4 linked regions of the Rhinolophus ferrumequinum genome follow. The protein of the gene in region 3 interacts with the protein of the main gene of each other region in a pairwise test. Links are inferred from orthologs where the notes say so. Each region holds a gene or a part of one and is shown on either strand. Other genes may lie near its edges.

Evidence for each region.
Region 1: the proteins of UBE2N (region 3) and LRSAM1 interact in binary tests that used the Homo sapiens proteins (3 or more experiments, as listed by UniProt). The link is inferred for Rhinolophus ferrumequinum from reciprocal best matches to the Homo sapiens genes UBE2N and LRSAM1.
Region 2: the proteins of UBE2N (region 3) and BIRC3 interact in a two-hybrid assay, tested with the Homo sapiens proteins (2 studies listed by BioGRID and IntAct). The link is inferred for Rhinolophus ferrumequinum from reciprocal best matches to the Homo sapiens genes UBE2N and BIRC3.
Region 4: the proteins of UBE2N (region 3) and E3 ubiquitin-protein ligase RNF103 interact in a two-hybrid assay, tested with the Homo sapiens proteins (3 studies listed by BioGRID and IntAct). The link is inferred for Rhinolophus ferrumequinum from reciprocal best matches to the Homo sapiens genes UBE2N and RNF103.

What each region holds. Positions count from the first base shown.
Region 1 is NC_046295.1:76,587,675-76,594,604, reverse strand, and holds the start of LRSAM1 (E3 ubiquitin-protein ligase LRSAM1), read right to left. Parts: upstream 3,024-6,930; 5' UTR 2,888-3,023; intron 1,285-2,887; exon of another isoform or gene 1,275-1,284; 5' UTR 1,253-1,274; coding exon 1,181-1,252; intron 788-1,180; coding exon 731-787; intron 176-730; coding exon 131-175; intron 1-130. Other genes in the region: RPL12 (60S ribosomal protein L12), read left to right, coding at 3,682-3,718, 4,216-4,289, 5,520-5,618, 5,983-6,064, 6,612-6,698.
Region 2 is NC_046294.1:71,855,921-71,862,839, reverse strand, and holds the start of BIRC3 (baculoviral IAP repeat-containing protein 3), read right to left. Parts: upstream 3,013-6,919; 5' UTR 2,880-3,012; intron 1-2,879. UniProt on the Homo sapiens protein: Multi-functional protein which regulates not only caspases and apoptosis, but also modulates inflammatory signaling and immunity, mitogenic kinase signaling and cell proliferation, as well as cell invasion and metastasis.
Region 3 is NC_046293.1:84,615,755-84,623,413, forward strand, and holds the start of UBE2N (ubiquitin-conjugating enzyme E2 N), read right to left. Parts: upstream 2,875-7,659; 5' UTR 2,871-2,874; coding exon 2,841-2,870; intron 1-2,840. Other genes in the region: COPII coat assembly protein SEC16-like, read right to left, coding at 2,875-3,291. UniProt on the Homo sapiens protein: The UBE2V1-UBE2N and UBE2V2-UBE2N heterodimers catalyze the synthesis of non-canonical 'Lys-63'-linked polyubiquitin chains. This type of polyubiquitination does not lead to protein degradation by the proteasome.
Region 4 is NC_046296.1:7,873,657-7,880,643, reverse strand, and holds the start of E3 ubiquitin-protein ligase RNF103, read right to left. Parts: upstream 3,015-6,987; 5' UTR 2,877-3,014; coding exon 2,651-2,876; intron 501-2,650; coding exon 361-500; intron 1-360. UniProt on the Homo sapiens protein: Acts as an E2-dependent E3 ubiquitin-protein ligase, probably involved in the ER-associated protein degradation pathway.

The sequences.
Region 1 (6,930 bases), on a different chromosome or scaffold from region 3:
AAAGACCTGCTGCAGGCAGAGAGGGTGAGCATCAGAGAGAAGGGAGGTGCCAGGAGAGCTCCTGAAAGGCTTACCTCACAGCAAACAAACATGCAATAAACAATTCTCTGAAAACAAAGACTCATCTCACCTTTTTCTGTAGAACTTTGCATGTTGCAAAAGCCCCAAATGGAATCTAAGATAAGATAAAGAAGAGTCAGTGCCTCTTTGCCAGTTTTAAATTTGTTTTCTGATTGGCACACGTGTGAGGGAGAGATGGGGCAGAAGGCGAACAATGCCAAATGCTGATGTGGAGAACAGCACTAAGCCCAGGAAAGGCTGGTGAGGAGTGTGGCTCGGGGCGTGGTCAGCCCTCCCTTCCAATCAGCTGGCAGGAGATCGCCCTGCCAGGCGCTAGCCCGCCCCCCTCATCCCCATCCCCGGCATCATTTCCATCAGGGGCTGAAGAAAGATCTCTGGTGCTTTGCAGAGGCTGGAGAAACCCAGACTCTCCCAGGACCCTAGGAATCTGTGGGTACATTTTTCAAGTAGACTCCTTGACTCGTTTGAGACTATGGCGAGGCCTAAGATCATCTCGATTCTTTTGGACAAAAACAAAATCTAAGGAAACACCTCAATTAGCGCGTCTGGACCTTTTAAAGCCCCAGTCCACATCTGTCTGTCCCAGGAACACATGATTCAAGAAGAAAGGACAGATCAAACTCGCAGTCAGGACACCACCCCAATTTACCTCTGAGAGCTCACATTTAGAGATGTCAAGAATGTCATCTGCCCCAGCTTCTTTTGCCTAAGGATAAAAAGAGTTATTTTAAAAAAGTGTTCAAATCATCCTTGCAGAGTGGACACACCAGGCAAAGAAACAGGATTACAACTCTGCAGAGGACCACAGACAGCATCTGGTTCAACGTGTCCATTTTGTAGGCTTTAAAGGGGCTTGAGGGCCAGCAGGGAAGAGCAAATGAACAAGGGATGACAGGTGTCAGTCTATGGTGGGAAGTACAGGGCACTCCCGTATTTGACAGGTAGCCTCCTCAGTCTGCTCTGAGTCAGACATTTCCTCTGGGGGTGGGGAAGGCTGATGGGAGGGAGCAAGGCTTGTCTGGGGAGCAGTGCAGAGCCCTGTTTTGTAAGACAGAGGCGGAGATGGAGATGGACTCCGAGGAAAGCCGTTTTCCCTCACCAGACACATCTGGTACTCCAGGCGTTTCCGAGCCTCCTCGCTAGGTTTCCTCTTCCTGAAGAAGAGTGGCATTCTTCCTTTTTCCTGGAGCAATCTTCACGACACTAGGGCATAGGAGAAAAGTTGGGGTCTGGGGAATTTTTCTCCCTGGGTGCTGGGGAACCCCCCGGCACCCAGGACAGGTAGCACGGTAACACAGCATGGAGCTGGTCGGCTGGACTGTATATCCCTTAAGGGCAGGGGCTGTGTCCATCTCGACCGTCACTCTGTGCCCTGAGCCAGGCAGAGCAGGTACTCAGTACTTTTTGTTCTGTGTTGACTAAACAATAAGCACCACAACGTGGTGGAAAGAGCACAGTGGCAAGCCAGGTGACCTGGGTTCCAGCCCACATTTGCCATCAGCCACTATGAGACCCTGGCATACCTTTGCTCTGTTCTGGTCTCCCATCTCTTCTCCACGTTAAACAAGGGGGTTGACCTAGAGAGGTTTCCTCAGGTCCTGTCCAAAGATGCTCTTTGAGGAGTCTAACAGGCTGGCCTGATGAATCGCATCTAGCCTCTGAAACAGTGTCAGGGTGGTATCAACCAGCCATGACCTTGGGGAGCTCAACTATATCATAACCAAAGAGATTTTTTATAAGAAAAATTCAAAACCAATTCTCAGGCACCTTACCACTCTCACAGTTATTATTACGTCTAATTCTCACCACACCTCTGTTTATAGTGATGAAACTGACAATCATCGAGATCGGTGAGCTGGTTATACAGCCTGGATGTAGCAAAACCAGTCTGGAATTCTGCTCTTTTGAGTCCTGATCCTGTGGATTTGCCCAACTCTTTGGTGCTCAAATAACTTAGCACACACTAAGTGCACTGTCCCAAACTCGGAAGGCAGGTGCTCACTGCCTGCCCACTATCTGCACATATCAGCGCTTGATAACCGATATAGATGGGCCAGGAAGCAACCCTCCACGGAGGTTTATGGTGAACAGCACAGGCTTGGGGAGGAAATACAAGTGGGTTTGAATCCCAGATCTGCCACCCGCCAACCATGTCACCTTGCTTGGTTCACCTCTCTGAGCCTCCGTTTTCTCATCGGCAAAATAATGTTACCAGCACCTGATTCTGTGACAATCCAGTGATATCGTGTATGTAAAGCCTCTAGCACAGTACTTGGAACATAATGAGTGCTCAGGCAATGTTAGCCACACATCCAACACACAGTTATTCAGGGCCTACGACAGTTAAGGACTAGGGAGAAGAGGGCCAGGAAGGAGATCCAGTTGAAGAAGACACAGGCACAGTCCTCAGGGGCCGGGGTAGAGATCACAGGTCTCCGCCCACAGGGGCATGAGCTGTCTGGGGAGCTGCCAAGACTGCGGAGCTGGCACTTGTCACCCCACCGGCCTGCAAGGATGGGGAGTAGTCTAAAAGCAGCCGACCCCCGTCCTACCCCACGACCAGCTCTTAATCTTCTGCTCCCCAATGACTAAACCTCCCTCCCTCGCTCCCCGAAGTCCAGCTCCTTCCACCTTCTCCCCAGCAATCATACCTCCCTCAAGTCTCCCAGATCAGCTCTTCCCAGCCAGTGCCAGGTCCATCCCTCATTCACCCCATCCCTCATTCACCCCGTCCCCCAACATCCAGCAGAGATGGGGAGAACCACACCCTTCTTCCTCTGGCTGGAGTGGGGAGGGCCAGTCTGACCTGGCTTTGTGTCTGGCTAGTCCCTGACGACCGTTCCCTCTGGTGACCCTGAAGGCAGGCCGATCACTCGTAGGGCTCTGTCATGGGCGCCAGTCGCAGACCACCTGGCACGAGCTCCCTTGGATCCAGAGACTGGTCTCCTCCAAAGGCAGGAGCGGGGGACCGAAACTCAGAATCACGGAAAGTCATGCAGACCAGGATGACGAAGTCTGAGGCTCTGAGAACCGCACAATCTTAGAATTAAGAGTTAGAACGGATTTGGACCCGAACAAATTGCTTTGATGACTAAAATGCACACATCACGAGGGAGTTAAAAGGGGTCCGGGGTCGCTGTGGCCCTGGGGACTCGGAATGAGGGTGCGGACCTCTCAGGGGAGGGGCGGGGCTCTGTGATTAGGTGACAGGGACCACGGGTGACCCTCACGGTAAGGGAGAATGGGGAACAGAGAGGCCCCGGATCTTGGGAGCAGCCCTCTCTTGTCTGCCTCCCCTGGGCAAACTGCCCTGAACTCCCTTCCTCGCCCCTCGCCCCTCGCCCCAGCTCACCGCGGTGCCAGGTTCTCCACCCGTCAGCCTCTGGCGCCTGCCCACAAGCAACATGGCGACAAGGGCGTCGCTGGGAGGCGGGGTGGAGCCGGCGGTTCTCGCGACAGCCGCGCTTTCCAGCCTATATCCGGCGTAGTCGCGGGTCTTCCGGTCTTTCGCTCTTTCGGCTTTCGGCGCGGAGGAGGCCGCGGTGCAACTTTCTTCGGTCGTCCCGAATCCGGGTTCATCCGACACCAGTCGCCTCCATCATGCCGCCAAAGTTCGACCCCAACGAGGTCAAAGTCGGTGCGTGTTTTAGATGTGGCCGGGGCTGCGGGATGGAGCATCCCTTTCTCTCCGCCGCCCCTCGGCCCTGCGGCCCCCCAGCAGTTGCCTTTCCCACATCGGGCTTGAAAGCGGCTGCCTGCTAGAGGCCTTTCGGGTGCTGCCGTCAGGGCGCTGTGAAGTCCTGGCCGAGTCTCTCACTCCTCCTGGGCCTCAGCTTCCCCACCACGTGCTAATGGGGAGGGAGGACCGGACGCCCCACGCCTTAGGGTAAGGCTTGTCTCGGGCGCTCCCCCGTTAGACTGGGCTGGCTGGCGGCTGGGATGCAGCCACGCCGGCCGGTGTGGCCTCGGCAGCCTGAGCTGAAGCGAAGGCCTCGGCCGCGTGGCGTTCGGAGCTGTCCACGCCTAAGGAGGAGGTGGCTGCGGGGAGGGGGTGGCCAGCCCCGAAAAGACGCGGAGGGAGGGCGGTGGTTCGGCGGGTCCTCCTGCAGAGGCATTCATTTGTTTTTCTCCCAGTATACCTGAGGTGCACCGGTGGGGAAGTGGGTGCCACGTCTGCCCTGGCCCCCAAGATCGGCCCCCTGGGTCTGGTAAGTCATTCTCGTAGAGGCCTTTTCTTAACTTGTATGAGAACAGTTGTGTGGTGGCTTGTGCAAACACGGGCCGTCTGTCCCCGATTCGGCCTGAGGCACTGAATTGGCACTGGGTGCGGTAGAAAGGTTATATACGAAAATCAAAGCCGGTACCGGGAAGCAGTAGCTTATTTTCCAAGGTCTCTTGACCACTGCTGTTAGTGTACCGGGGAGATGGGCGGGAAGAGGTCAAGTGTGGGACTTGAAGTCGACTGGCTTAGTGACGTCCTGTTTCCTACCGTGTTGCCGCGAAAATAAGACCTTGCCGGACAATCAGCTCTAATGCGTCTTTTGGAGCGAAAATTAATGTAAGACCCGGTCTTATTTTTCTATAGTATAAGACTGGGTCTTGTATAATATAACATAATTAGTATAATCCTGGGTTTTATATAATATAATACCAGGTTTTATATTAATTTTTGCTCCAAAAGACGCATTAGAGGTGCTTGTCTGGCTAGGTCTTATTTTCAGGGAAATAGGGTCAGGGATTGGGCGTATCGCTGTTGGACGATTCTGGTGTACATTAGGATAGCTTGTATTTTCTTCTCTACAATAAACCTACTGGTTAATATGACTAGCTTTACCTGTGACCAGCTTCATTTATCTGCTTCTCCGTTTTACTAAATTTGCACTTCCCTAAGTATCATGAGGCCTTTATTCCTGCATAGTGGTGCGAGTGCTCTCAAACTTGGATTTGTTTAAGCAGTCTGAATATTCTTCCTTGGCCCTTAGCTCAGTTGGCATTCACTGGTAACACTTGTTTAGGCTAGTGGTCACTAAGAAATTCTGAAGTCGCATGTGCCCAGGTCACATCCCGGTAGCTAGACTTGGATTGGTCTGGCACCGGACACTGATACCTGTAAAGCTTCCCAGGTGATGGAAATGTAACCAGAGTTGAAAGTTCCTTCATTACCACATGGGTCCTTATGAGAGGGTAGGTAGGAAAGGGACTTGGTCCCATTATGGCCCTAGGTCTGCGTCTTACAGCTCTGAACAAACTTCACCTCTAGCCTCATTTGCCCAATTTATACATACTGGAGTGATAGTCTTGATTGGGTAGGTACAGTTGTGTGCTTCAGACAGTTTCCTGTGTGCTTGATGAGGATTTGTCAAGTAAGGAAGACCGGGCAGGTTTTCAGACTGCTTCAACTTTGGGCACAATATGATTACATACTTTTATTTCTACAGTCTCCAAAAAAGGTTGGCGATGACATCGCTAAAGCAACCGGTGATTGGAAGGGTCTGAGGATCACAGTGAAATTGACCATTCAGAACCGACAGGCCCAGGTACTTGGCTTGAGGGAGGGCAGAGGTCGTAGCAACCGCCTGGGACTCATGGGTGGAAGGTTCTTGCTGATGTGGCCACCTGCCACCAGTGGTTGAGAGCAGTTTCTCTGTCGGGAAGGCTTTTTCAAGAGCATGGGCCACGGTCAAAGACATGGGCTCAAATATTAACTCTTGTCACTCGTGGGACATTGAGCACATCACTTAATGTCTCCTAGGCTAGGACATGTTTCAGATGATGAAAATTATTTGAGAATGTGCAGCAAATCCAGTGTGGCCCATGGTCTCTAAGAACCAAGTTGCATGCCATGTTGTCTTCATTGGTGAGCGGGGCAGGGTTTATTCACATTGAGAATCTGTTTTGCAGATTGAGGTGGTACCTTCTGCCTCTGCCCTGATCATCAAAGCCCTCAAAGAACCACCAAGAGACAGAAAGAAGCAAAAAAACAGTGAGTGGCTTTTTCCCTGATGCAGGGTTTGTGAGTGGTGGTGTCTGCATAGTGCTTCATACAGAGCTGCATGTTTTCTTTTTAATGAAACCTTGGGATGGCACGGGGATTTGATGTCAGACTGTTACAGCCAGGCTCTACCACGAAGTGCTGTGCAGGAGGGAAATGGGCCGGGTGAAGCCACTGAGAATGATGACCACTAATTAGGAGACAGCACTTCTGAGCTGGATGTCACTAAACAGCTTAACCAGCCCCAATAACTTAAGTTTGTCTTCTCATCTCTAAAGTCTCTTCCACATAGGATTGGCAAAGACTTGGTTTTGCCCTGAGCCCAGCCACCCGCCACTGCACCCGACCAGTTCTGTTGGCTGGTGCATTCCAGTGGTGAGCTGATAGTAAACCCCAGCTTAGGAAACAGGGTTGTTCTTCATGTGGATGACTCTGTGCCGAAAGCGTGGGAACAGCCTGGAAATGGCTGAGGGAGGACATGTGGTCTGCTCTGGCTTTGGGTTGTGACATAGCCTTTGCTGTTTTTTCTTCTCTGCAGTTAAGCACAGTGGGAATATCACTTTTGATGAGATCGTCAACATTGCCCGACAGATGCGGCACCGATCTTTAGCTAGAGAACTCTCTGGTAAGAGGACAGTATGGAACCACCTTCATCATGATAAGGGGGTATATTCACTGAGTGGTAGCATTTTCCCACTTAAAGTGGATTTTATTCTGTAAGACCCTAAATTTGGGGTGCAGTGTCCCCTAGGTTTGAAAGAATGGCTTAATCATGTTGAAGATTTTGGGCTGGGTGTGTTTAATCTGGGTATCAAGGGTCCCATGCAAACATTGCATTCAGGGATTATGTAATTACT
Region 2 (6,919 bases), on a different chromosome or scaffold from region 3:
TGTTAAATGTTTTAATTAATTACCAACATTTTTAAAAAGTAAGAGATTTCCCATAACATTCTAGATTCCAAGCTTCTCTTGAAAAACCAGATCTGGCCACACGGGGCCTGTATTCCTGTATGGCAATAATCAGCCAGCTCCCAGCAGCAACTGTACCCTTTACAGAGGGCACATGCTCCCCAGTTTGGCACCGTACTTTCACTCCCTGATACAAAGACTATCAGTTGCTACTTGTCACTGAGCTAGCACTATTGCCTTTTTTGCAGTAGAATTATGAGGAAAGTGAAATTGTCCTAATACCTGTGTCTATCAAAAGTAACAAAAATGGAAGGTAGACAAAGAGGGACACATGTGTAGAGAAAAATGAGAGTACCATATTTCTTTGTGGAAAGGAAGAATATTCCTACATGTTACATATGTGAACAAAGTATGTTTTTGATTACAACTTACCCCTATTTTTTTAATTTATATCACATGCCTGGCCCCTATGCCTTTGAGATTGCTAACCCCTTACACAGATTTTACCCTAAAGAAGATTTGCTGTAAAAACAAGGCACATGTTTGTAGAAATTTAGACAACAGTTATATAATAAATATACAAAAATATGCCAAGATGTCAACCCTGGATCATTCAAACTCTGTCTTAACCATTTCCAACACCTAGACTTCAAAATGTTGTTGGGGAAGATCTGCAGTCTTGCAGACTGGGACCAGCATGACTTCAGAGGCCACCTGGGCTGGCCCTTCACCATCCCTAACTATTCTACTCAGCCCTATGCAGCTCCTCAGCCCACTGCCCTATGCAGCTCTTCTAAACATTCAATACCTTCCTCAAATTTCTCCTCCACTACTCCCCATCTCATTTTCGGTAAATGGCTTTGCCGTCTGTTTCTCAAAAAAAGAAACATCATTGAGCAGTAATTCTTTCACATCCTCAAATCCATGCCTTTTTCACTCACAAGCTATTTGCTACCTCTGAGAACAACGCTTGCCCCTGTACAGGTCCCATCCTCGCCTACTGCTTCAGAAATCTTGCTCTCACCCCCATCCCCCTCATTTATTCAACTCTCACTCTCTACTGGCTCTTTTCCTTCAATATAACAAGCATGCTTAAGTCTGTCCCAGCTTTCAAATGTAAACAGATCAAAACAACCTCTTTCAACCACACTTTCCACTAGCAACCATCCTGTATCTCATCGTCTCTTCACAGCCAAGTGAACTGAACAAGTGTCTATGGTTAAGGTCTCCCACCCACGACAATTGGCTTTAGCCTGAGCCACTTAAAACTAATCTCAATATTAATAGCACCAATAGCTTCTTTGCCAAAACCAATGGAAATTTTTGTGTCTGACACTGGGGCCCACTTCCTCTTAGAAATGCTCTACTCCCTTGGCTTCTCTGATACCACTGTCTTGGAAGTCCTCTTACCTTTCTAGTGGTTCCTTCTCAGATTGGCTCAAGTCCCCAACCTCTTCTTACTATAACATTTCCAGGGGGCAACCTCCCTGAGCCCAACTACGCTCTTGGGCACTTGGCATATCCATGTCTCTCACACTTGGCATATCCACGTCTCTCACACTGGAGCATAAATTTGCTTTTCTTTCTGCCTTCCCCCAGACTGTTTGCTTTTTCAGATCAGAACTATGTTTCAGCTCTGTACCCTCCCGACCCCAATATCCAACCAGCCTGGCATATAACGTAGTAACAAAGACTTTCTGTTGAAGAAGTGAATGTTAGCAAACTTAACTGAGCCCCCATGACCACGTGCATGGTATTAAGGACATCAATTTTATATTAATGGCCACAAAGTCTGCACAGTGATGGCTTAATACCATGCTTTGGAGTCAGACAACTTGGGTTTCCAATACCATTCAGTGTCCCCTACCAGGCCTGTGATCTTGGGCAAGTAGGCCTCCCTGAGCCAGAGTTTCCTCATTGTCAGTGGAGCTACTGGTAATTATGGTAACTGCTTCTTCAGATTGTAAGAATTAAATCTGAAAAATACCTGTGAAGTCTTCGGAGGGGTCCTAGCATATAATAGGAATTAGCAACACCTAATGTTTGCAATAAATAATAGCAAAGTAAGTTAGCATTATGGTTAGTTACTTTAGCGTCAGGTAAATGCCTCCGGCTCTTTACTAACTAAATTTAGAGCACTACCAGATTTCCATGCTAATCACCAGGAAAACAACCAAAAAAATCTGCTTTCTGCCACCATTTGGAAACATTCCTCCATTTATTCATTAAATAAATGTTTTACTGAGTCCTTACTGTGGCAACATTCTGCTTTAGGCTCTGTTCTGAAGCTTATTTGGCACAAAGACCAGGTGATTGCGCTTGGCAAGCGAATTAAACCAAATATCAAAGCTTCCCCAGTCCACTGGCTGTCCCCAAAAGTAAAACAGAAACTGAGCACCCGGCAGGAAAGCGGACCAAAAGTGAGTGCCCGCGAAGGCAGCGCGGGGCCGGCCAGCACCCTCGCGCCCCCCTGAACCCCGCGGCCCCGCGCCCAGCACCTCCCCCTGGGTTGACAGCAAAGGCTCTGGGGCAGTGGCGCTCCCCAACGCCACCTGTCAAAAGAGCGCCCCGTGCGCCGGGGAAAAGAAAGACGCCCAGGCTCGCGGAGGACACACTCTTTGCCTTGTTCCTGATCTGCTGGAGAGCCGACCTGTAGCCGACCTCTGAGCCCTGGTTTGATGACCGCGTCTCCCCGCTGACACTCTGACTCCGCTGCTGGCCCCGCGCTCCTCTGGCGGAGCAGCAGAAACGTCTCCTATCGGAGGGGGTGGGTTTGGGGGGATTGACAATCACACAGCCTCGCAGCGGCCCTGGTCACCCCACCTGCTGCCCGGAGGCCGAGGTGCGCTAGCAAGACCTACCTGCCTGCCGAGTCTTCTCGGCTGACACCTGTCGCCCCGGCAGTTCCGCGCGGGTTAGAGTCTCACGCTGCTGTTAAATGTCCCACTGCGCCCTCCCCACCCCCACCTACACACACCCGACACACCCGGTGTCCTGCACTCCTAGTGGTTGGTGCTTTCCTCTTAGGACTTAGGGGAAATCCAGCGGCAATAACCACATACACTTCCCCTTCTTAATCAGTGGTCTGGCAAAACCACTGGGGGATTTCCATGACCGTAAAAGCATGACTATTTCTTAACCGTGGCGTATCCGTGGCATTTACTGAAAGATCTTTACTTCTTTGTTCGTGGGTCAGAGGAAATATTGATAACCTGTGTTGAGTAGCTGATCATTGGTCAGCCTGACTGGAAAAGGCCCATTTCCTAATATACATATTTTGAAAAGAAGAGAAAAAATAAACTTTGTGAAATCTTTCTGATAATTTTTACTTTATGTTCTAATCAAGAAAGTTAAGGCATGAATGGAAATGCAGAAGCATGTAAAAAAAAATCACATGACTCTCCTTTTCAGTTCAGTTTTACTGTGTTAAAGATTGAGATCACCTCGTTAGTTTCCTATATTGAAATGGTTTTGTTGGTTGGTTGGTTGGTTGTTTTTCTAACGAGGGTAGAATTGGCTATAAAAAAAATTCTGCTTTTTGTCTCACAGAGGAGACATCTAAGTTACTGTGATATTCTCATGGAAACTTGAAGTTTGAGTCTAACTGCACTGCCATATTTCCTCCACATTCCTTGTCTAAGCAGTACATTTAAGCAACTTTCTCTAACGTCAGTGCTTGCCAGGAAGCAGATGGACGAAGAGAGCTCACCTGATTTTCCTGTCTTGCAGTAGATCAAAGATAATTGGGAACCAAAGGCAGAATCTATAATATTATTCATTAATTCATCATTATCCTGTGGAAACAAGAAGATGTGCCCATTCCATTCAGTATAACCAGGATGAGTTCCAGTTAGAGTCCCAGTCGGAATTATATCAAAAAGATTAAGTTCGTCTATCATGGAGAGGCTTCAATCATCGTTTGAACCTGCTTAGTTCAAAACTGTGTAAGCCATTTTCAACTCACCTTTGGATGATCAAAAACATTTTGTGGTCTTTATACACTTTTGATCATGTACCCACCAAAAAAATTTTGAAAAACTATTCCTCTGAGCATTTTTAACTTGACATTAAAACATAAAAGTTGTAGTAATTGGAAAGGAACTACAAAATGTAGACACAGATATTTTAGAATAAAACTGATCCAGGACTCTTTTAAATGTATTCAAATATCATAGCCATTTGATAGCCACTGTTATCTGTTCAACAATTAACACATTAGCTCATCTGTAATAACTGGAAATAGTATGTCACTGCCTTTTGTCCTTTTTGAACATTCTACTTCCCCCACCGAATTTTAATATATGTTCATAATGGACATCTTTATGATCACTTGGGCACATATTTCTGAAACAATGTATGTATAAATTGAAATTCAATTTTTTTTCCTGTGATCATAACCCTCTAAGTGTTAAAGAAAAATTACTCCGGATTGCATCACAGTGCTTAATACACAACTGGTCAAAATAATATAAATATGTTATAAATGTTGATAATTACTAAAGATAAAAAGTTAAATTCTATTACAAATGCAATCTTAATGGGGTTGCAGTATATATTTGAACAATTTTTCAAGTATGTTCATGAATATTACCTATTGCTAGAATATGATAGGGTTCAGCATAGATTCTGTTCCTTTTTTTTCATTTCTAAAGATTGTAAGTGTTGAAAAATCTACATATTAATAAATAAGTAGATAGGCCACGCCCAGAAGAAATGTTATTATATCAACTTTTCACAATTTTTTGAACATTTGTTTTATAGCCCAAAAGTCATTTAGTGATGTTTAATGCAAAAAGTTAATTAGTTATCAGTAGACAACTCGATTTTGTTTAAATCGGTGATTTGGAAACCACAAAATGTTTGTTCCCTAGGTAGGGTTGCCAGAGTTAGCAAATTAAAATACAGGGCACCTAGTTAAATTTAAATTTGAGATACATAACAAATGAGTATGTCCCATGCAATACATTATTCATTGATTATCTGAAAGTCAAATTTAACTGGGTGTCCTATATTTTATCTGGCAACTCTATAGCCAGATATCAGAACCATTCATTTTCTCAACACTAAACAATGAATATTTCTAATTGTCCAGGAAGATTTTACGCCTAAGGGCAATACATCATTTTAAAACCCAAGATGGATAACAGGTGAGCCTGTATTTCCTAAGAAGAGAGAACCATTGTGAAAAGGTTGGTGAGAAGAAAAAAGAGACCTGGCAACTGGAACAGCTCTTGGTTTCAGGCAGATCAGTTTTAGGAAAAACTACATGTGGAAATATAACATCAGGTTGTTAATTCCCTTAAAACTGTTTGGGTTCCCACTTACACATTTTTACATCTTTGTAAAGACTTGGTGTTTACCAAAGAGAACACTTATACCAATTTAAAAACCGTGGGCTAAGAAATCCTGCACTGACGAGGATTCCCAAGTTCTTCCAAATGATGATTGTTGGGATCAGACTTGTCTGGGCTTGGAGTGGATTGTTATGTCTCTTTTGCAACATTTTACACAACTTTTATCGTTGATTTAAAAAAACAACAACATAGCGGCGCCCGGCTAGCTCAGTCGGTAGCGCATGAGACTCTTAAAAAAACAACAACAAAGGAATTGTTTTCCTGTAACAATTCTAAGTTCCTAGGCGCAAGGACTGTATATATTTTATTCACCTCATTATTCTAGTACTAGCAGGGCACCAGCAAATAGTAGGTGCTCAATAAATCTTTGTTGACTCACAAAAATGGAGTCAATCTATCCACTTGGGCCTACTCTATTCCAAAACTGTACCCAGATTTTTAATAGTGTAACACACTTTACATTTTCCTTCTAATCTTATGAATATTCCAAATATGTTATATAAAAACTCCCCTTTTCCTTCCAGCATCCAACTTACCTAAATATATTTTCTCTCCAAATACTCTTTTAGAGACAGAAATAAGAAAGGAAATGTTTGAGGAAAGTGACAAGGTAGACACATAGGGCTATTAGTATCTCTAGTTCTCCGGTTTTTTTCTACTGTCAATGTGTATGTGTTGAGAAGGCATTTCACCTCATTCCTGGTTTGGGACTTTGATAACTCTTAACAGTGGTATGTTCTCAATATTGTGTTATTACATAATCAACTTTAAAGTGTTTTTTTCCTTGAGGGTAATTATGGTAAAAAATTCTTTCTTTGGAAGGAATTTCACATAATAATAATAATAATCCTGTAACAACTTCAGTTCCAGCCTAATACTATTGCACTATAAGTTTTTAACATTTTTCATTAAAGAAATACATAAAGATTCTACCCAGAATCTAGAATTGAAAGTAAAAGTGAAATCTAACAAAGGAAACGTACAGTCTGATTCCAAAGTAAGTAAGAGAGTCATTGTAAATGCTGGAAATTTCCTAGTCTCTTGACAACTTTATATCTTGCAAATAAAATAGTTAGATCATCCTGAACAAGTGCTAATGAAATAATTTACAAATAAATATCTTTTAATATAGACAGACTGTTCTCAATGGAATGAAGTTTGCCCTTATAAATGATGGCTTACTTTTAATTTCTTTGTCCTGACAATACTTTAATGACACATAATTTACATAGTTAAAGTGCACACATCTTAAGTGTACAGCTCATGAATTTTGAAAAATCCATATACTTGGGTGACCATCAACCAGATCAAGATGAAGAACATTCTCCATTACCCCAGAAAATTCCTTCATGCCTTTTTCCAGTCAATACCTATCAACTCCTCCATCCCCGTCTCAACCACTGTTCTGATTTTTATCACCATAGATTTTATTTGTCTGTTCTTGAACTTAGTGTAAATGGCAGCATACGGTGTGTACTCATAAAGGTTTATTTCACTCATGTTTTTAGTTTCACCCATATTGTAGTGTGTAGCAATAGTTTGTTCTT
Region 3 (7,659 bases):
CAAGGTTCCAGTGTTTAGCGTACAGCAAAGCAATAGGGTGGCTGCTGCAGCGGAGCAACCCAAGGAGAGAAATGCAGGGGATAACCTGAGGTAGGGAGATCCCAGATGCAAGAAGGACTTGTAGCTAGGGAGGGGAAAAAAGTCAAGATTTTATTCGAAGTGTGATGGAGAACCTTTGTAGAGTTCTAAGCAAAGGAAAGACATGCCCTATTTTTTAAAAAAGTAACACCAGCTGCAGCTTAAAAGGAAACTAATACAGTAGCTCAGGCAACAAAGGAGGGAACAAAACAATGATTTAAGAGAGATGGTGAAATGTATCTGCTTTAGGATACATTTTGAAAGTAGAGTCTAGAAAATTTGCTACTGGATTGAAATGGGAATCCAACTGGATGAAGAGTAGTTCAAAAAATCATCTTTTATTTGTATAATTGTTACAGGTCTCAAGGTATTTTTACACATAGATTATTTCATTTCATAATAACAAGAGGCTGGGGAATGTCACAGTGAGCCAAGGTCCAAGTTCTTCCTCTTGCCAGTTTTAAGACCCTAGGAAAGTCATTTCAATGGGTTTCTAGACTATAAAACATATTGTCTACTTCTCAGGATTCCTGCAGGTATCAAATGGTTGAAGAATTTTGCAAATGTGAATAATGACTATTCTGAGATAGCACCTTATTAATAAATATCCAGTGAAAGACAGTACATTCCTGTCATTCAGGACAGTAGAGCAACCACCACCACGATATTCCACACAGAACTTCGTGCTGAGATTGTCAGAGAAGAGGCAAACTTTTAGTTCCAATTATGATATTAAAAAAATAGATATTTTCACTGATTATGGAAAAAACCTACATAATACAAGCATGGGCACTAGAAAAAACACTTTTATCTTTTAATTCTTCCTAGGAATTGGAGAAAACAATTCTTTTAAGCTATAATAGTATTAACCACCTACCTGTTTACAAGGTAAAATCCAAAATCACAGCAACTTTCATTAGAAAGACGCTATCAACAGGATACTGTAAAATTAAAACTGAGTTATCACTTTCTTGGTTTAAATAGTAAAATGTAAATACCTAGTGTAAATTACTGTGTGCGAATTAACTGAATTATGAGGACTTCAACTAACTGCCTTAAATCATTTTTGTAAGTTTATGAACAAGGTTCCACGGAACTAATTTTCATCCAAGGCTTTCATGTTACTGCAGAATATCTGCAGAATCAAGCAAAAATGGAAAAATATTTGTTAAGTCTTTAGTTCAGTATGTATTTTGGAGATTATCTTGAATGTCAATTTGTATTATGTACTTAGTCTATAACCTAAATAACAGTAAATAATAATTCAAGGATATTTATTGTACAGCTCTTCCACCCCTCATTTTCAACGAGAGCCTCAATAAACCTGACCATTGGAGCCATGTGACTGCATTATAACTAAAACCACACTGTAAGGACCTTCCAATGCATACAGCAATTAAACTGCCTTGGACAGAGTCCGAGACAAATCCATAAAACAGTACAACAAATTTTGCACTATGAAGGTTCACATTATTACACTCCAGCACACAATGACAATTCGTCCTACTCTGACTTCTAAGAATTTCTACCTTATAAAACGTCCTATTGTTCTCTAAATCAAGCATCTTTAGATCAGAGACACCCCCCATCTCATATATTTAATTGCGATTGCACAAAGCACTACATTTCATCATCTTTCAACAGGTCTTTCACTTAGCACGCATCTCGCCCAAACTTTTAAAACAAACTACATTAAATACATGTTCACCAGGTTATATCAAGCAAAATGATGCTGCAAGTTAGTCACCTGAACTCGCATATTGAGCAACAGAGATGCATCTCACTTCCTTCATTTAAACTGACCAAAAATGTCAAGGTTTTGTTTTGTAAATTGCAAGACACATTTCACATCTGAGGACTTGATATTATATAAAGACTTTACAAAACAAAGATGCCAAATTTTTCATGATTCCATACATGCTTGTCAAAGTATAGCATTAATAGAGTCAAAGAACGGTCTAATAATTAAAGGGCACAAAATCGAAAAGCAAAAGATTTCACAAGGACCCCTATACTTGCGCCCCCCACCCCAAGTCTTGTGTTAAACTATTTCCTCTGAACAGAAACAGCTCTTCAGTTTGCAAACCAGAGTAAAATCACTTCGCAGAGATAACGAGTGGAAACATATTTAAAGGAGAGGAAATCGCCGAAGCTGGAACAATCGGGTGCGGAGCCCCCAGGTCCCCGGACCCCGACTGCCAGGAGCGAGCATGTGCCGCCGGCGGCAGCACGCGCGGCCCTCCCGGGGCACAGGGCCTGGCCCGGCCTCACCCTCCCGGTTCATTCATTCTGAACCTGGGGCTGCCGCACCCCTGCGCTTCCTCACGGGCCGAGTGGGGGATCCGACACCAAGAGGCCGTGTCTGGCCACAACCTCCGCCTAAAGTCCGGGCCCCGCCGCGATTCCCGCGCGCCCGCGGCCTCTGTTCGGGGGTGGTCCGAGAGACCGCGGAGGCCCGCACCCCAGACCAGAACCCCGCAACCCCACCCTCCACCAGGGCGCAGGCCAGGTTGAACCCATTCGTAGGGGGCCGCCTGGAAGCCCCGGGTCCCCGCCGCAGGGCTGTCTCACCGCGGCCGGAAGTCTCCCCGGCGCCCCCTCCCCAGCGCCCGACTTCCCTCGCCGCCGCGGTCAGACCCTCTCCGTGCAGCCTCGGGCCTCCCAACGCGGGCCGCGGGCCGGAGGAAGCGAGCGGCCACGCCGCCCGATCCGCCAAGAAGGAAAGACCAGAGCAGGGAGCAGAGGCGGGCGTGGGAGGTTACCTTGATGATCCTACGGGGCAGCCCGGCCATCTTGTCAGATCCCGAGTTCGGCCTCTGGTCTCGACTCCGGCTCCGCTTGCCTCACGCACGAGTGGAAGTCCCGGGCTCCACTTCCGGGGGACGTTGCCGCGCCCGCCGCCGCCGCCGCCGCCACCAGCGTGGCCCCTTGGGAAATGTAGTCCCTGCTCGGCCGCGGGCCGGCTTCCCTCGGACCTGGCCCCCCCACACACACCCCGCCCCAGCCCCGGCCTGGAGGTGGCGGAAGTGACGCGCAGCGGCGGGGCAGGGACTTGGGGGAGGTGGCGTGGGGCGGCGCCGATCTCCGGCGCTGGTGAGTGATCCTGCCGCGCGACGGTGGGACTGGGCTGCCCACACCCGGCGGGCCTGATGTCCACGGCCACGCCCGCGCCGGTGGAGACGTAACAGAGGCCCGGCTGCCGATGTAGCTCATTCATTCATTCGTTCATTTCTTCATTCTACGTTCCTGCCTTGTGCGCTGGCGCAGCGGTGGACGACTGCGATCTAGTTGATCCGCTTGCTCCTGCTCAAAGGGAGGGGAAGACCAAACCTCGGTGGCAAAGCTCCCAACTGTGATAACTTGGGTCTCGCAAGTTATCCAGGGAAACTCTAGCCAGAGAGTTTTGATGTTTAAATGTCGCCTAAATCGGGCCTATTTGACACACTCCTTACACTCGGAGAAGGCTAAAAGAAGAGTTTGCAGATAGCTGAGGGAGAAACCAGGGAAGAATGGTTTCTGAACGCCTGGACCTGGTGGTTGTGACGCAGAGTAACTAGCTAGCTCGAGGAAAGTCCAAAGAGAGGATTAGAGAGCCCAGCGTAATCCCTGACAAGGATTACCCACAAAGTGCAGGGATCCTAAATGAAGATTAGAGTGGCGGTGCCTGAAAATGAGATTGTTGGGGAAGCGTTTTGCGACAGCCTGATGACTGCTTTGCTATGCGATGGTTTTTTGCAGATACTATTTTACTTCATCTTCACGGCAATCTTGAGAGGGAGACCCAGAGACGTTAACTAACTTTTTACAAGGTTATGCAGGAGAAAGTGGAGCTGTTAACTCCCAGGCAGGCCTGCCAAAACATGGACCCCTTAACTGCTTAACTACGGTGTTTCCTTAGCACCCGAATACAGACATAGTGAATGAATGAAGATGTGCCAGGTGCTATGTTAGGGGATGAGAATACAATGAAACTGACCCTGCCTTGCAGGAATTTAAGAGTCCGGTGGAGAAGAAAGACATGTAAACAATTAATTACAATCCAGTGTGTTAAGGGCTATACCAGAGATTCTTCCAAGGTGCTGTTTGAGCGCAGAGAGGCATTAATTGTTTGAGAAATCAGAGAAGGCTTCACAGAGGAGAAGGGGAATCCTAAAGAATGAGGTCAGAATCTAACTGACGTGGTCGGGTAGAGCATGCCAGGCATGGGAAATAGCTTGTGAAATGGCATTGAGCTATAAGGAAAAAACAGTGCATTAAATAAAGAACATGGATGCAAGAAACTTGTAAGAATAATAAGAGAAAACATTATGTGCGGGGCACAACGCTAAATGGTGACATGGATTATCTCAATCATAAAGCGTGTAAGGTAGGCTTTCCTATTACTAGCGCTCTTTAGATGAGAAATGAAGCTTCAGAGGGAATAATGAGAACTTAAAATAACCAGAAGTCTGAAGCGAGCGGTTCTGTGATTAAAAGAATCTGAGAAAATAAATAACGCTGGACAAGGAAACTTTCAGAATATTCTAGAGAGGGCCCAGGAGAATTCACCCTGGTAGGAAGACTGGCAGAGTGAATATTGGGTTAGAAGTGTGCTCTTGCAGTTATCTATTTTTGCCTAACAAACCAACTCAAACTTAGTGCTAAAAATGACAACCATCATTTATTTAGCTCTTGAATATGCAATTTGGCCAGGGAAGGCTCATCTCTGCTCCATGCTACATCAGTGTGGGCAGTCTTACTGCGGCCAGATCCACTTCCAAGGAGGCTCATAGCTGCCAAGTTGGTGCTGGCTGTTAGTTCCTCTCCAAGTGGGTCTCTCCTTGGGGCAGATGGGGCTTCCTCACTGCGTGGTGGCTGAGTTCCGAGAGTGAGTGTTCTAGCTAGCAACAGCAGAAGCAGAAGCTAAATCATCTTTTTTGGCCTAGCCTTGGAAGTCTCATAGCATCACTCCCACCATAATCTGTTGGTCAACTAAGTCACAAAAGTCCACCCAGTTTCAAAGGTACAGGACATGGACTCCACCTCTTGGGGAGTGGCAAGAGTCTAGAAACTGTCAGTGTGTGTGCGTGTGTGATGGGAGATATGGTTGTGGCCAACTTTGGAAAACAAACTGTTGTTACAGGTACGACATTTGTCAGTGTATGCTTACAAACCACCTGCTTGAGAGTCACCTGCCTATGATTCTGAGTGCTGGTTGAAATAAGCATTGCCAGCTCCCTCCCTCCAGAAATTCTAATTCTCTAGGTCAATGCTGAGGCTTGGGTATCTGCATTTAAACATTGTGAGTAATTTTGGTGGGTCCTAAAATTTGAGAACAAAAGATTTTGAATAAAGAAGAACAAAATGTATAAACAAAAAATGTTGCCATCTGCCTTCTTCTTGCTATTCTCTATCAGAATGGATAGTGAGTATCATACAGATTAAGAGTGTGGGGTGGCCAGTTGGCTCAGTTGGTTAGAGCCCCAGTGCTCATAACACCAATGTCGCTGGTTCGATTCCCACATGGGCCAGTGAGCTGCACCCTCCACAACTAGATTGAAAACAACTTGACTTGGAGCTGATGGGTCCTGGAAAAACACACTGTTCTCCAATATTCCCCAATAAAAAATAAAAAAAAAAAAAAAAGACTGTGGGGTTTGGAGCCCCAGGCCAGATCTGAAATTTGCCCATCCTTTGTTTTCTTCACCTATAAAATATACTTACTTTATTGTGATTGTTGTGAAGTTTCAATTATACATGTAGCTTAGAAGATGACGTAGCACTTAGCAAAGGCTATTATTTTTGTAATCTTGACAGAACCAGATATAGTTTTCCTTAGAAAACCAGATTTTTAAAACTTGACAGTATTCCCATTCATTTTTCCTCCTTAGGAGCAGCTCACACTATACTCATCAGGAAAACAAAATCTGAACTTCTGATTCATGAAAGTCTTGTAGAACAGGATATATTCTAGAAGGACAAGTTGCCACAGGGCTGAGATGACGTTTATTCGCAATTTAGAAAAGCTGGTTAAGAATCCTCATTACGATACCCATGAAATACAGACCAAATAAGGATATCCACAAAACTAATTGAATCGATTTCTTCAGGGGAGGGTTGCTGGGCGGGAGAACAGGTAAAAGGAAGATTTTTCACTCTATAGTCTTGTACCTTCTGGATTTTGAACCTATTCAAAATGTAAAATAAGAATCCAACTTACTAATGTCAACATTCTAAGAGGTATTCAGAGTTCTTTCAACACATCAAGAATGATATTATACACTCAAAACTCAGCCAAAAGATGCTGGTTCATGGTGTTGAATAAATTATAGTGACCATATAGATTCACTAAGCTGAACAGTGTGAGGCAGAACTCAGCTAATCAGTCTTCTTCAGCTCTTCATCAGGCCTCGCTCTCAGCCATGTTTCTTTCAGTCTCTCCTCCTGGACTCATAGTACAAGGTGGCTTTTAATTATGATATAGGGAAAGAGAAAGCAAGAAAGCTGCATTGGAGGCATTACAGGAGTCCTGTTCTATGCGACTCTCTTATTGCTCAGAACATTATTTTACTGCCTCCTGTTACTTCTCCACCTCTTACCCCCTAATATTCCGGGTTTGCTACTTTGGCCCTATAATAACAGATGCAAAAGTGCTATTTACCCTGCAGATAATATCTTAGGACATTAATACTTGAGCTCCTCAGAGTCATGGATCTCTTCCATCTCAGTTGTCACTGTATCCCTGGAGCTTGAGTGCAGGGCCTGCTCCCAAAAAATAGCTGTCAAGGGAATGAATCAACGACTGCAGGCTGAAAATAAACGCCTGTTTGAGAATGGCTGACATTGACTCATGATCCTTACGTAAATGATTACAGAAAGCACAGGATCTTTATATTCATCCCTAAACTTTTCAACTTGAATTCCTGGAGGATAACAGAGCTGTTTTTCACAGACTGTCTCACGCTTGGCAGAGACAACACAGAGTTGATCAATTTGGAAAATGGTAGATCAGTCACCTTTAATAGAAGCCCTGTTCAATTCATGAGCAATAGCGATCAGGCAGAAGTATTTGTTTGCAAGTACTCTTGTTTCTTGCAGCATAGGAAAACTGTTTCGTGGGCGATCAAGACAAGTATCTGTGAGAAAAGGGTTCATGAACACTGACTCAGGGAGGAAATAGGTGGAGGAGGAAGAAAACATTGCACATTGATTTTTTAAAAAAGCAAGGAACGCCTGCTGCCTCATATTTGTGACTTCAATGTAAACATCTGAGTACTTACAGTCTGTTACAGATCGCCAGCCTGTACACAGGATCAGAGCTGGGTCATCCAGGGTCATACCGGTAGGAGCTCTGTCTCGAGGTGGAAGGCTTGGAGAAAGATGAGATCCGGAAGAGTCAGAGTAATCAGGCTTACCTTGGTTTAGTGCTTTATGCTTTGCAAAGCACTTTTGAATCTTAGCTTACCCACGGAGCCTATAAGTGCCACTGGAGGCATTCTGCAGAGGCCATCATTGATTCCAAAATGTTTTTACAAAAGTAGATGGAAGGGGTATTTCTTTCTCTGGGCCAGTTCCCAGTGGTAACAGGATTCCAGAGGGTAG
Region 4 (6,987 bases), on a different chromosome or scaffold from region 3:
ACTTTTACTTTAGTGTTCTTCCTCCAGATACAAAAATTATTTGGATCACTGAATTAAAAACTGGAGTTAACAAAAATTGAAAGAAAGGAATATATGTATGTGCTTCTTACTTTAATGAAGAGCCAACAACTAAAATGGATTTGCTTCTGTTGACGCGAAACAAAGCAGTCAACCCTCTTTCCCCAACAATCCCCTCTCACACTCTTCAATTTTCATTTTCCCTGTCTGCAAAACCTCTTTAAGAGGACACTGGAGCCTTCCTATGAGAACTGACTTATGGCTAAGAAATATGACATAAGTACACAGCGGGCGAATACTATTATGATTAAAAAAAAATTCACTTCAATCAGTTTCTGATACCTGAACCAGCCAGATGCCATCTTTTGTGTCTTCTACAAGCTCATAGAAGTGCATTTCACCACTGAAATTGGTACTAGAAACAGATTCAGATGCTTCTTCTTCCTTGAGTGCAGAATAGAGTTCACCTTCCATTAAGTCACCTGAAGACAAGAAAAACAAATTAGTAAGATTTCAAAATTCCCTCATTCCCAACTTCAATGATTAATTCCATTTTACACTGTTAAAAATCGTCTTGTACTTTCATTGCAGATACAGAAGAGTAGAAACTGAATATACCCATTTAAGATTCATACATCCAGTAAATATATAGTAAGAACCTATTATGTGTCAGGCAAAAATGAACAAAACAGACAAAATCTGTTTCCTCCTCATGGGGTTTACATTCTGGGAGGGGAGGGTCACCATAATTTATTAGAAAATAAGTGAAGTTTATACCAGTCCAAAAGCCACCACCATATTATCTACTTTTGTGTATACATGTTCAGGCTTCAAATACTTTTTAAACAGTATGATTTATATACTTCTGACTTAGAGATAATTAGAATAGGCTTACAGAATTTGCCGCCGCTGCATGCTTAAAATAGCAACAGAGTTTTATATGACTTTGAGGTTAGATATAAAGATCACCTATAAGAACAAACTCCACATTCATACACAACATTAACAGTGTAAATTTAGAGCTTGTAAAAGTAAAGGAAAACACTAAATGTCCAATTATTTTACTTTTGCCTTAAATGTTAACAATGAGAAAACAAGCTTTTATCATGATAGCAGCAAAGCCATTCACAGTGAATATTTAAATTATAAAGTTAAATTGCTATACCAAGACTTCGCTGCTATAGAATGTGTGATCTGAGTCATATTTTTATGGGCTATATATATTCTTTAAGTGATATGTACATTCCTGTACACTCAAAGTGACAAGTACTTTTAGGCCCAAAGGAAGGGAATACTATATAAAAGTCGAAAGGAAAAAAATGTGTTACCAAACTATTTTACTATGGAAAATATTTTGGCTTTGGCAGTTAAGATACTTCTCATTGCTAAACCTAGAGCGTTTATTAGATATCTTCTATTTTACTCCATTGCAGCCCCACACCCCAAAATAAAAGTCACCATAAACCAGTCAGCAAATAAGAGTCAAGAATAATACCACAATTTTATGTTTCCTTTAAAGAAAATGTATCACTTTACAAAGAGGGTTCCCTTCTCTACCTCAGTAATAATACATGAATTTGATAACCCTTAACTTGCAAATATGTGAGTGCTAAATCCTCTGGAGTTAATATTCTTGGTCTGTCATACTATATGGCTATAGGATACTAAAGAAGGAAAATATTTCTCTTGTAAAAGACACAGCTGACAGATATACTGAAACAATAAAAAAGATAACCATCAGTTTCTACTGCTTCCTACAACCCAGAATGCCTTTCTCAAAGGACAGTACATTCCCTCCCAGGAAGTATATCTAAACAAGACACATTTGTGCAGGGGGTGAAAAAAAACCAAACCATATTTTTCACCCAATCCTACCCCAAAACCACAGTTATTGAAAATGCATTCTTTAAGAAGTTATTCTCTTAGCACTATTTCGAATTTTATTTCACAACCCATTTCATTGATGCAGCAGTGTCTGTGACACGGAAAGAAAATAAACATTTACATACAAGGATTTTTTTAAAATCCTGAAAGAAATATAAAACAAACAAGGTAGGCATTCACAAAAAAAAAATGTTCACCTCATTTTCATCAAACTTGAAGTATGAAAAGTTAGTACTGTACAGTGTACACTTTCTCTATATTTAAACTCATTATTTTATTCATTATTTTAAACTTATATCTTAGGCTTAAATGTCTCTTTGATAATTAAATATTCCAATGACATTTTTCTCTCTGGGTAACTTGCTATTATTACTGTGACAACGTTTTGGGTTTTTTCTTACATCCTTATGAATTTTAACTGACAAATAATGCTTTCGTTTGTGACATTGCCATATTTTGAGAAAATCACTCAACTTAGTAACAATGCCAAGAAGCTGCACTTTAAACTGTTATTTTAAAATAACCTTAAAAACAGACATACCCCTACACCTAATTCCAGACCCCTTCTCAAAACGGTGATTCACATTTTTGTAGAAAACCTGGACAATGAAAAACTGGGGCAGCTCTCGGAGGAGGTAGGCTTAACTCTTCCAGGTAAGGCCTAATTCTGGGGGACCACCAGGGTACGAGGAAGTACAGGTGGCCACTACCCCGGATGGAGGGGACCTCGGGGGAGCCCGATACTCGCCTGACTTTTCCACCAGCTCCCGTACATCCTTCTTCTCGGGCAGCCCCGAGTATCCCAGCCCCCGGCACTCCAAAATGGTCTTCAGCTTCTTGAAGCTCAGCGCCACCGGATCCACTAGCTGGGTGGCAAAAATGCCAGTTTCATACCACACAATGGCCTCAAAAAACCTAGCCAGGACGAACAAGACCAGAAAATAGAGGAGCAAGAAAAAAAGCTTCAGCCACATCTTCCCCTAAGTCTTCTCTCTTTTCAGAGAGCTCAGAATACGAAAGAGAGGAGGTGAGGGGAGTGTGTATTCACGCCGGCCTGGGCGAGGGCACTATCTGCGCGTGCGGGCCGGCCCTCGCCGCGGTCACTGTTGGAACATCCCGGGCCCGGAGGCAGGTGGATTTGGGTATCTGTGAGGATAGGGAACAGACGAGGAGGGGCAGAGGCGCAGAGCTTCACGCGGGGCCTTCCAGTCAAGAGGCAAGAAAAATAAACAGAAAAAACTTAAAAAGCCCCATTAAACACCGGGTGAGCCCGCGGGGATGCAACGAAGGGACGCTCCCAGGCAGGGGGCAACTGACCGAAGTGGCGGGGTCGGCCTTCCAGCACCGTAATCTCAAGGGGGAGGAGGAAACGAAAAAAAAAATCCGATCCACAAAGGAAGCGGGGTCCCGGCTGCAGGCGGGGGGCGCAGGGGCCGATCGGGAATCCGCGGCGGCGGGTCAAGAGGACGCCCCGCTCGGCCCGGCAAGGCCCGGGGCCCAGCGCGAGAAGAAGCGGGCGCCGCAGCGCCGCGCCCGGCGCCCAGGGCCCAGGCCCCGCCGGCTGCCCAGGATCCGCGAGAAGCGGGGCCCGCACGGCGGCGGCGGCGGCAGCTCCAGGTTCTCTCCCGCCAGCGGGCGGCGCCTTTCAGGGGGGACGGGCACCGCGGCCCGGCCCGGGAGGGGGCGTCCGCGATCTCTGCAAAGGGAAATGGGGCGCGCGGAGCGAAGGTCCCGGAGGAAAAAAAGGAAAAAACAGCTCAAGACGTCTCCCTGGGCGGCTATCTGGTTGCCTCCAGGCCACGCTGTGCCCGCCCCGCTCGGATGGGCGCTGCGGACCCCGGCCGCCGTCCCCGTCACCTCGCGAGGCCGCGACAGTCGCCTCCGTAGCAGAGCGGCAGCGACCGCAGCCCGAGCAGAGACATAACAACTGACGTCGGCGGCGGGGCGGGGCCTCAGGCGGGGCCGGGAAGGAGCGCCCGCCAGGCAGGAGGAGGAAGGGGGTGGCCCAGCTGGGAGCAGTGGCTGGGGAGGGAGGCGGTAAAGAAGTGCGAAGCCGCAGCCTTGACTGGCTGGGCTTCCAAACAGCTCCCAAAGGTGCTCCTCCAATGTCTTCTCCGCTCTCTTTCCTTTTGCCCTGCAGATATTTAGTAATTGATTTTGTCCAAGGGTTGGACTTTGGACTGTGTCATTTTGTGTATTTTTTTGTTAAAATAGGATAGTTAATTATCCTCTTAAAATCGATAAAAATAGAAGAGTACGTTTATGTTAGGTCCTCGTGAATTGGGAAATTTTTGGCACAGTTGGTTTGAGGTGGTAGAAGGTGAAACCCAGAAAACAATGATTTTTTTCCGTCTCTAGGTGAGAATGTAGTTTGTGCATTGTGCGTTGGAGAGGTTTGACTGAAAGGGCAGTTAGAACTAGGCCCACTGGTCCCAGCCGGTTAGAGTCTTTCCTCCCCTTCAGTCTGAGGGGTGTTAAAAGTCAAGTAATGAAGCACTGAGTTCCCAGGACAAAGGTTGTTGAATGTTGATGTGTCCCAGTGCAAAGTTTATCTGTGTTTTCTTTCATTACCCTCCCTGAGTATGGGCTCCGCCAGCAAGAACTTAGATAAAATGAGTAGTGTGGGTGAGCACGCAGTACATAGTTGTATATTTATTTAACACCAGTGGTGAATACTCTTTATGAAAATCTCTGTGCCAGTCCTTAGGAAGAAAGGGATTGCATACATAAATTAAACAAGGCTGGCTTTTACCAACCCCCTTGATCAGGAAGGAAAAGACCTAAGAATTACAAGAGAAACGTTCGCTGTTATGCAAAACTTTATGTCAAATGTCTTAAACTAGGGGTGGGCGTTTTAGGAAGAATGGGGGTATGACCCTCAATCTTGGAGTGAATGAGGAATGGAAAACAAAGAATGAACTGTGAGAATGTAGCCTCCAAATGGTACCCCTTTAAATTAAAGCAATTAAAACCATTTCAGTACACAGCTAGAGGAGGAGGACTTAGAAGGGAACGCCCCTGGAGCAGGGAGAAAGAATCAGAGGAGGAGGTGTAGGAATGTACAACCTAGCTCTTGACCTCTGCTTCTGTGTTTTAACTAGCTTCAATGTGGCTTTGTTTCCACAACTGGCAGATCCATGTGGGAGATTGTATTAAATAGTTCATTCTAACAAGCTTGGTTCTGAAATGTCAGAATCCTTGGGTATGTCACAGTGACCCTATTACTGGGTGATATTGCTGTCCAAACCTTGAAATTTAGGGTGAAGTCCTTCTCTTCAAAGGCATGTACTCACTAGTGAGGAAAGACTGACCCAAACTCAAATAAGGTAAAAGAGGGTCGTGCAGGGAGAGTTGGGGTGTGAGCTGAAGATGGAACCAGTCAGGCCAGAGTTTGAAATTGGAAAAATATTAAAGAAGCGATTAAGTAATTCTTTGATATTTCTTGTTTGTTTCAACTGTCTCCCATCCCACCACCTAGCCTTATTCCCTCAAGGTTTAATGCTTAGAAAAAGTAACAGCACCGACTGATTAAAAAAAAAAATTATATCTTCTATCGATGGGAATGTACAACCTTTCCGGAGGGCAATTTACAACGTGAGCTAGAAAGGCCCCTGAAATGCATGCTCTTTGGCAAAGTAATCTCACTTCAGGGAAGCTATCCTGAAGAAATAACTGGTCACGTGTGTGTAGGGATGTGTGTGCAGAGTTTTGTTGGTGTAAAGTTAGGAAAAAAGAAATAAAGAAGATGAAAACAACCCAAGTATCTGGCAACAGAGATTGGTCAAATACAGTAATCCAAATGATGAACGATTAGGCAGCTTCTAAAAAGAAAGATGTAGACATATGGCCATGGATATGGAACCATGTCCAAAGTGCAGTGTCTGCAGGGAAGAGCAGGTTACTGAGAAGTTTGCATGGTAAATGATGGCATTTTTGTATTTGTATAAGAAAAAAAGATATACATACACTAAAATGTTAATCATATTCATCTTTAGGTGATGGAATTTAGATGATTTAAATTTTTCTTTTGTGCTTTATCTTTATTACTTTTCTGAACTAATTATACATTATTGTTGTAATTTTAAGATGTGTTTTGAAAAATAAGACAACCATTAGAACTGCTTCCCTGGTCTGGAGGTTTAGCTGCAGAGATTCATCCTTTGGGATTCCAAGGAAGGTATGGCCTTTCCTCCCATGAGGGTGATTTCCGTTTCCGCTATGCCTAATTGGGCAGACCATTACAACTTTTGTTCAAAGACAAGGCTGACAAAAGGATGAATTATTTATTGTTTTACATAATCTGTTTTTCTAATAGCTAAACTATTAATCTGGTTTCTTGATTTTCCATCTCAGATTCTGTTAGTTTGTGGGATGGCTTAAATGCCTTATCATTTGATATTGTGGCAAGAACAATGGTAATAAAAATATGCCGGACTAACAAGGATAAACTTTGTGCCAGACAAACCCTACTTATTATAAAATAGATCCTCTTCTTATCCCTACCCAATCTGATTCCTATTCCTCAAAGACTATTCTTTAAGCATTTGTCTCATGTTTACCCATGTATTTCCAATAATAGGTTTATACTGCTTTTCTTGATTTTTCCATTTTTATACATTATGTATTGATTTCTTACCATGGAATATGAAGAATGATCTCTTTTATATCACCCATTCACACACCATTTCCGTTCACTTATCCCCAATATGATTATATGATATATTCATTTTTGTATTAATATGACCATACAAATCTTGTTCATGGCTGAGGCACATCATTTATATTTCCTTTTTTATGCAATTGTTCATTTTCCCTGGAGTTAATAATTAACTCAAATTTTGGTTTGTTCTATTTTCTAGGGCCCTGTCTGAACTATAAAACTATTCTGATGACTAATCTATCAATTCTATATTTTATTGGAAATAAACCTCTGTCCTGGCCTCCTGCTCCAGGCTACACTGGTTATTCTTCAAACCAACTACACAGCTGTCATCCCTTCACTGCTCTTCTATGTTGGATTCTGTTTTCTTGATCCCATGGTTGCACTTTGTTCTTTCACTTCCTTGTTTGCATGGAACACATCCC